Saccharomyces cerevisiae S288C: one gene and its partners. Changing the gene in region 2 together with the main gene of any one other region gives a genetic interaction. Each region holds a gene or a part of one and is shown on either strand. Other genes may lie near its edges.

Region 1 (2,948 bases), on a different chromosome or scaffold from region 2:
CGGTGACTGGTGGAATTGTGTTAGTTGGGCAGACTTCAGTAGAATTTGGAACATCCCAGTGCATAAGTTTTTGTTAAGACATGTTTACCATAGTTCAATGAGTTCATTCAAATTGAACAAGAGTCAAGCAACTTTGATGACCTTTTTCTTAAGTTCCGTCGTTCATGAATTAGCAATGTACGTTATCTTCAAGAAATTGAGGTTTTACTTGTTCTTCTTCCAAATGCTGCAAATGCCATTAGTAGCTTTAACAAATACTAAATTCATGAGGAACAGAACCATAATCGGAAATGTTATTTTCTGGCTCGGTATCTGCATGGGACCAAGTGTCATGTGTACGTTGTACTTGACATTCTAAGGCATCCTGCAACTGTTCTGTGGAGCTATTAAATCTTTATAGTAAATTTTTTTTTACTTTTTTTTTTTTTTTTTTTTTTTTTTATTATTTACAAGCGTCTATATATTTTCTATTATAGAATATTGTCATTTATTACATTGGTTCATCTGTAAATCTCATCAAACGGTCTCGTATCGGCGAAGCAACTGTCCCAAACTTCATCTACAATTTTTGCTGCATGTTCTTTGCTTTGGCAGTTGGGGTTCCCCGAAACACTAATTATTGCCCTCCTTCTAACACAATCTTGGTGTCCCCTTGCCACATGGAATCCTGTCCTAAACCCTCTTCTCTTGAACTCTTCCCAAAACCTGCATTCCCCACTTAACGAAGAGGCTCTGATTTCAGAACATGCATGATGCTTCAGATTTAACCAATCTATTTGCCATTTTAGATCATCGAAATAATGAATTAATTCATGCGAAAGCGTATCCTCTAAATGCCACTTATCACGTAACCTGTTCTGGCACAATAGGATTCCCAATTCAGGATGAAAGCCACCGCCCTTCCAGTCGGGACAGTAATCGCAGATGATCTTCGAATCGTCGAATTTACTGTCGCTACCCTTATTAAGTTTCGTAATAGCTTGTACCATAAAGCGAACTGTGGGAGAGTATTTAAGCATCCAATCTCGATACTCATAACATTTCAGACATTCCTTTTTTAGTTCTCGAGCTTTAGAGTCGTCTTCGTATCGAGTTTTCTCCTCCGGTGTCAAGCCTATACCAGTCTTGTACTGCATGGTCCGTCTCCACCACTCAAACCCAGCATTATCCCCACTGCTATTCATATCGTGCCAAAAAAAAAAAAAATTCGGTACTATCAGCTTTCCTTGGTTTTGGTTGTACAAATTATGCCTTACTCTTCTGATCATTTTGATATTAGAACTCTTATTTTTCTTATTTGTTCGCATCGTCATAAATGATAATTGGCGAAAACGCGCCAAAAAGTGAAAAAGTGAGAACTACTTGAAAAAAAAAAGTTTGATATTATAGGTATTATTGCTCAAATAGGTACGATATTGTTGTAGGCATAAAAATTAGATTAGCAGAACCCTTTTCCATTTCATTAACATGTCTAGTTCAATATTTGGCCCACTTACGGGTTTTTTGGAGCGTGTCAATTCACTCAATGCGCCCTACCAAGCATTATCATATGACGAACAAAAGGCCATGACTATTTGGCAAAGAGTCAAATTCTACAACTGGACTTTTGAATTGTGTGCTCTAGGTGTGTTGTTCTTGGTTTATGCTTTCTACAAATTTGGTAACTCCGTTAATTTGAAGCGCGGAAATCAGATTTTCCAATCTTTGCATTCATTTTTGGCCAACGACTTAAAGTTCTCCCGTGTAGGGTTCAATATCAATGATTCCAAAATCTTTACAGTGGAACACCAAAATACATGGTTCTCTTCTTTTGCTACCGGTAGATCCGCCATCAAGAGCATCAACCTAAACCTTCATCTGGTAGCCCGTAGCAACCCTTTCTCTATGTGTCTAGAGTACCTGCTTGGATTTTTTTTTGCAAGTTTGAAAAGTAAGCAATTGGAAGAATTTATGGAGATCGTGATCAGGCCAAATGGTATTTTAGTTACTAGTGAATCTGCTCATCCTAACAAGAATGCGCATGAAATTTTGACCAAATTTAGATTTGTCACTTCTATTGTTAACAAAGAATTCATGAATCAAGCTAGAACTGAAAACTATTTCCTGTCTATTGCACACACTAGTGAAAACGATAAACTACCAAATAACTTCGTCTACATGTCCGATGTTAATCAATTATCAGGGTTCATGTTTCATTACTCCAAGCCCTATGAGGTTTTGTCCCAAGCTGGTAATCTTTTGAAATATATAAGTTTCACCGATTTGCCTGTCAACCCGCCACGCGATGATAAAGAATGGGAATCTTCAATTGAACCAAAGGCTATCATTCGTTGCGCTGTTCCCCAAAATGAGAATGAATTGAAGTTGTTAAACCAAATTATTTCCTTAGTCGTAGAAATCTACGATGGGTTCACTCAAGATTTAGTCCAACAGTCTCCAAACTTATTCATTACCAACGACATCTTGAAAAGAACTACCAACTTGCGTCAGCAAGAACTGAACAAGATCAAAAAGTTTATGAAAGAAACTGAATTGGAATTGGCAAAGGAGAAGAAATTAGAATTGGAAAAAGCCAAAAGACGTCAATTGAAGGCCTCTGGTCAACAAGAAAAGGTAGATCAAAAAATGAAAGAGAAAAGAGAAAGACGTCTCAAAAACAAGCAAAGAACAAGATTTCAGTAAGAACCACTTTGTTCTTCTTTCCTCCTTATAATTTTCTGAACCTCTTCAGTTTTTGTATACGAACGTTTTCCATGTATCCATACATTTAAATAGTAAGTATGTAAATTGGTATGTGGTGTTTTGAATTGCGATGTTGCCTATATACAAGATTGTACGCTATCTGAATACATACTCTTTACCAATCAAATGTCAAGACCGGGGATCTTAACCTCTTCGATAGTAATCCCAGAATCCAATAATCCCTTCTTTTCCTCTTTTGGCTTCTC
Region 2 (3,148 bases):
GTCTTGCACATTTTTCTCTCAACTTTAAACAATGATTTTGATAGTATTGACACTGTTTCGAAAGCCCATTCAGTTGGAATTGGGAAACATTATATAACGACTCCAAAAGTGGGGGCAGTGGCTCAAAAAAAATCCTAATGTCGGTAGGCAGCTGTTTAGATTCCACAAGGTTAATGATGGAGATATCGCTCGAACGGCATATAGGACACACCTTTGATGTTAATGGAGAATGCTGCGAACAGAGGATATGAGCACATGAGGTCAGCCTCAATGGATCTCCATGCGATGTTCTTCTGTGGCAAACACCACAGTAAACAAAGGGCTGTTCAAAAATAGAATCCGGCATTATATATTTCTTTGGTGATATCAATGATAAACGTCTTACCTGTTTCAAGCACTTTTGTTTTTTCTCTCTCATGCTCTTCGTGTTAGTTTGGGGAATGAACACGATCGCCAAATAGCCGCCCATCCCTTGTTGGCCGCCGCACAAAGCGTCAACTTCACAGACGTTTGGCAAACTTCCACAATGCTTCCTTTTCAGATGGAGTAGCCTCCCCGCAAGCTGCCCACCTAATTTTTAACTGCTGGTCCACAAGAAAGACGTATCCAGAAAAGACATTATTGCAAAAGAGCTCTTCCCTGACGGAAAATGGCCATTGGCCTCTAGAACATTCGAAATAAAATGGCTGGCGCCAGGATGGAACGCGATTGGCCCAACGAGCAAGCGTTTTCACTAGAGCACTTTTCACAGCGTTTTCTACAAGATTGACCTCGATGATTTGGACGTTACTGTCATTTAAACTTAAACGCGCATCAGCTTCAGTCAAGTAGTCAGTTTTTTTGTTATCGTCTACGATTCCTTGGAAGTATGAACTACTCAACTTATCGCCAGATGCTGTACTAAATAACCTCACTATACTGGTTTTACCCCTTAACATATCCTCGATATTCTGTTGTTTCGTACCATCCATTGCCGTTCCTATCAAATGAGGAAAAAACAAAGCTTTATCTTCTTTCCAATATGAAACTGGAGCTATAAACAATTTCCCCTTTGTCTTTTGGAAGACTTGCACGTCATAAAGTCCAGATTTGCTGAATTCAACGGCCAACTCTTTAACTCTGTGGTTTGTCTTTTCCGAATCAAACATATCCCTCAAAGAGTTCCCCTGGGAGTATTTGGTGCTTTTCCTTGGTGCTTGTGTTAAGCCTATTGGCTTGACCAGTTGTTTGATCTGGTATTCCTTTGGGGAAGCCGTTGCCATCATAGGCTTGAGGAATTTATCCAAGAAGGACATCCGCGTAAGCGTGGGATGGTAAAACCTTTTAAAAGTGCCCTGCATAGTTAGTTTAAGTTACTCTGATATCGCAAATAAACAAATAACCTGACTTTTACTATATGCTGAAATAGTCCTTTTTAAATATGCACTCTTCCATATTTTTCTGAAGGCGAATCAAATAAATGGTAATAAAAATTTAAATTTCAAAAACGATTTCTAGGCAAGGATATTGTGCGTAAGGAACAAAACAAACGTTTATAGTAGTTTTTATATAGCTGCATAGTGATGTGGCGAGAACTATTAAATATTTCTTACTTCGAAGTTTTATGTACATCGCCTCTGCCTTGCCTTTACACTTTTTAAATTCTTGATTCTGCTCTAGTACAATCTTCACCACTGTTACAAGATCAGGCGTCTCTTTACTAATACCAAGAAGAGGGTGAGATACATGATATTTTATTAAACTGATATTGCCTTGGGTCGGCTGTAATGCAATTAGTCAGGTGGAATCTAATATCACCTAGGGCCTTGGTGAAAATTCTCAGCAAAATGCGGGTTGAGGGTGAGAGAGGGTCCTGGGGAAGGTGCACGCCCTTTTCACAAGAGGTGCGTAAGAGAGAAACAAGCCTTCGACTCTACAGCCCTTCTAACACCGCCACTCAATCAATTAAAAGCAGTCGCACCCATCCAAAAGTAGAATTACATAAACTAGAGGAGAAAAAGCAGCCAGTACAAAGGAGAATTACTTCATTGACCAACGGATATTCTGTGAGTGTTTATATTTAAGATTCTGCTTTTGATTAGAGAAGGTTGAGAACCATACAGTTTGTCAAACCATGGCTCCAAAAATTTCAATATCCTTAAACCCACCGTACAACGGGGAGTTTTATAGCTCTAATGATCAAATGTCAGGGATAGTTAGTCTTCAGTTAACAAAAGCGCTATCTATAAGGAAAATTTCCGTCATTCTAAAAGGATTCTCAGAGACCTTAACAAAAATTGATCAAGAGTACATGTTTCAACAGAATGGCATGATGATGCCGGGCCAAGACAACAAATCCTTTCATACATTAATGAAATTCGAACAGAGAGTTTTCCCTCCAGATAATGTATGGAATGCTCTTGATGGCTCCTCCAAGCCGTTCAAAGTTAAACCAGGTTCATATAATTATAGCTTTCAATTTGACAAGTTTCCCAGAAAGCCTGAATGTCTGAAAAATCATACGGCAAAGACAGTAGCGTTTGTGACAAGAAGTAATGCCCGACTCCCACCTACGTTCAATAGTCATTGGCAAGAATTTAATAAAATCGATAATCTGGATTTGTATTTTTACTCTTTTGGAAAAGTTATATATATGGTGCAAGTTCAATTAGAGCTAGGGAAATCTTCATCTTGGTTTAAGCCATTCCATAAACTGATAAGGGAAATCGAGACGTTCGAATTTATACCTGAGCCAAAAGATCTTATTATAGAACCTGATGAAGATGACAATGAAGAACTTAATGCCTTCAGTAACAATAGTAGAGGAAATAGTATGGTCACCAACAATGAATTTTTCAATAGTTCAAATTTAAAGGTGCCATCAAAGGACGTCAAAGTCGTTAATGGAGTCGGATATATAAAAAGTGACAGGAACTTTTCTCAAGCTAATTCTATATTGATAGAAAACGGCGACATTAGATCGAGACCGGTATCATCAGTCACATCAACAAGACAATCTACTCGCCTAGTAAATGGTATGAAAGTTTTCCCATCTACTTATAAAATGGGGTTGCCTGATGGGGAAAGCAATATGAGAATAGAGGTTAGAAGTCGAGATTTGAAGCAAATATACAGGAAAGACTACTTGTTTAGGTCTGGCAGCCAAAAT
Region 3 (2,512 bases), on a different chromosome or scaffold from region 2:
AATTTATTACCAGACTTAATAATAATATTTCAACACGAAAAGAGCTATATATGTCAGTGGTTCAAGCGTACGTCTCTACTAACAATTTCGAGAATTTAAAAGTAATCTTGGAAAAAATCCAGAGAGATAATGATATTAGCATAGACGGTTCGTTTCATTTGTGCATTTCTAGGTATTTTGTCAACACCAATCAATTCGAAGGACTTTTCAAATATTATCGCAGTGTAGTTAAAACCACTGATGGTAAAACGCGATTACGGCCCGCATTTATTCAACAATTATGGTCATGTGCCGTAAATGTTTATCCAATGCTGGCAAAAGAAATTACAAATGACCTACTTGTGACTCTAAAAAGGAGCCAATACAGCAAATGTCTCACTTGGGTGTACACATTTTTACAAGAAAATGCCCATATCCATACGAGAAAGATCAATGGAGGAGAAGACTCTTCGTTATCTGGTTTCAACGCGGTTGATTTTGAAAGGTTTGAAGAGTTCAAGAAAAAAGTTTCTCACAATGATGTATATGGAGCAGAATTGGTGATTTCGAATAGTTTGAAGGAGGGCATTGCGCCTCAATTTTCATTTTTGTATTCCGTTTTGGCATTATGCTTGAGAAACTCTTTAACTGGTTTGGCACGTGTAGTTGATGTGATATTAAGGACCAGATTCCGCTATATCCCACTAAAAGTCGATATATTATGGTTGAAATGGGAGATCATTTCTAATTATAGATCTTTTGAAAAGTTGTCTGCTGAACATTTAAAAGAACTGGAATTCAAACTGAAGGAATTTGAACGAGTACATCAAAAGGAGCTTTCAGTTCAAAACTATTTACAACTTACTCAAATATGTTTCCACACCCGTGATTTCAAATATGCATGTTACCTAATTTCACAAGCTAGAAAAAATTTGGATACTTCAAATAACAAACAGTGGATGATGTATTACATGACATCTTTAAAGTTGGCGTCAAGAATGCATGAAAGCGAACGGTTTAGTAGGATTTTAAAAGACTGGAATTGTAATCATAGGGCAAGCCTGATTACTCCAGGTTGCATTAGACAAATCAAAGGCTTTATGAAATATTTTGAGAAAAGGCCTGCTTACATTTCAACTGCTGCTTCCATTGATAACAAGGAGATAAAGGATCGCATTGACGAGTTAGTACTTAGATATGTGGACTATAAATACCAGGGGCTTGAGAATATGAGAAAGTTAACACTTTTCTTAAAAGAATGGTTTGATGAAGAGATTTCACTATTAAAGTTGGAGCAAAATGAAAGGAAAATGAAGCTTTTTGAAGAGAATAAAAAGGAGGAGGAGTAATCTTTTCAGTTATTTACCTTCCTTTCTCTCACGTGTAAATATTTGTGTGTCATACACACCGCTAAAAACCTTTGCATCAACTTATACCCTACATTTCTATAGACGCTATTTGGAAACAAGATGTAACCCTTTTTTTCTTTTAGTTTTGAGATTTGTACTCGTAAAGAGTACGTTTATTTATTTATTCAAATTTTATTCTTCATACCATGTAAATATAAGCGCATATAATCACTACGATCTTAGTACAGCTAGAATTGCTGACGCTTACAATTGCTTTATTGTTTGATTATATGCACGTATACATATAGTGTCAGCAAAAAAAAAAAAAGGCAGTACTTGATTGGCTACGCCGCGCATCGTCCGAGAAATCCGGCCTGGTAGGGGCAGGTTTGAAAAGGCGGATAGAAATAAAAGATGATATTATTTATTCATCCCATGAATAGTAGAACTCGATATAAGATTCTAAACCAACAAGTACAGAAAGCAAAACAATAATAAATAATGGCTAATAAAGTTATTCAACTACAGAAAATCTTCCAATCTTCCACTAAACCTCTATGGTGGAGACATCCAAGGTCAGCTTTATACCTGTATCCATTTTATGCTATTTTTGCGGTAGCCGTCGTTACACCACTTCTATACATTCCAAATGCTATTAGAGGTATCAAAGCCAAGAAGGCATAGTTAGGTAAAAATAACATCCGTTCATAGCATCTTTATAATTGTTCTTTGATATTAAGTGTGTATGCTCAATACACATCACCCAAAACATTTTTATTCGAAATAAGATGAAAGCCATTTATTTATATATACATATATAATATTCTAAAGAATAAGGAAACAACTAATCGAACTAGCATAGCCTTTTCCATCTTTGTTTTCTTGCGCAGTAATAAATCGTTTCAGTTAGGCCTGGCAATAAAGATTTGCTAATCATTGAAAAAGGTGTGATTGATTTTCTCACTTGAAGTATGTCTAGTATTTATTAAACAATTATAATGGTGTAAACTAATGTCTCTTCAAGCAAAACGTGCTTAAAAGTGTCCATGTGATGGGAGGGATCATATTTTCAAAGAGGTCTTCAAACGTTGAAGGATAAGCTCCTCTTCATCATCGTCAACCCAGTTGGAGCTCCCTTCATCGTTCAGAAAATCCATCAACACTTGTTGCTGTTGATTCTTGTG

Evidence for each region.
Region 1: mutations in ATP10 (region 2) and ATP23 together harm fitness less than expected from each alone (positive genetic interaction), as found in Saccharomyces cerevisiae (3 studies listed by BioGRID, with this or other methods).
Region 3: mutations in ATP10 (region 2) and COX7 together harm fitness more than expected from each alone (negative genetic interaction), as found in Saccharomyces cerevisiae (2 studies listed by BioGRID).

The regions. Positions count from the first base shown.
Region 1 is NC_001146.8:666,910-669,857, forward strand, and holds ATP23 (putative metalloprotease), read right to left. Parts: upstream 1,314-2,948; coding exon 501-1,313; downstream 1-500. Other genes in the region: ARE2 (sterol acyltransferase), read left to right, coding at 1-358; YNR021W (uncharacterized protein), read left to right, coding at 1,468-2,682; mitochondrial 54S ribosomal protein bL9m MRPL50, read right to left, coding at 2,865-2,948. UniProt on the Saccharomyces cerevisiae protein: Has a dual role in the assembly of mitochondrial ATPase. Acts as a protease that removes the N-terminal 10 residues of mitochondrial ATPase CF(0) subunit 6 (ATP6) at the intermembrane space side.
Region 2 is NC_001144.5:905,271-908,418, reverse strand, and holds ATP10 (Atp10p), read right to left. Parts: upstream 1,341-3,148; coding exon 501-1,340; downstream 1-500. Other genes in the region: SUMO ligase CST9, read right to left, coding at 1-469; ART10 (Art10p), read left to right, coding at 2,114-3,148. UniProt on the Saccharomyces cerevisiae protein: Essential for the assembly of the mitochondrial F1-F0 complex.
Region 3 is NC_001145.3:778,445-780,956, reverse strand, and holds COX7 (cytochrome c oxidase subunit VII), read left to right. Parts: upstream 1-1,829; coding exon 1,830-2,012; downstream 2,013-2,512. Other genes in the region: PET111 (Pet111p), read left to right, coding at 1-1,328; GFD1 (Gfd1p), read right to left, coding at 2,390-2,512. UniProt on the Saccharomyces cerevisiae protein: Component of the cytochrome c oxidase, the last enzyme in the mitochondrial electron transport chain which drives oxidative phosphorylation.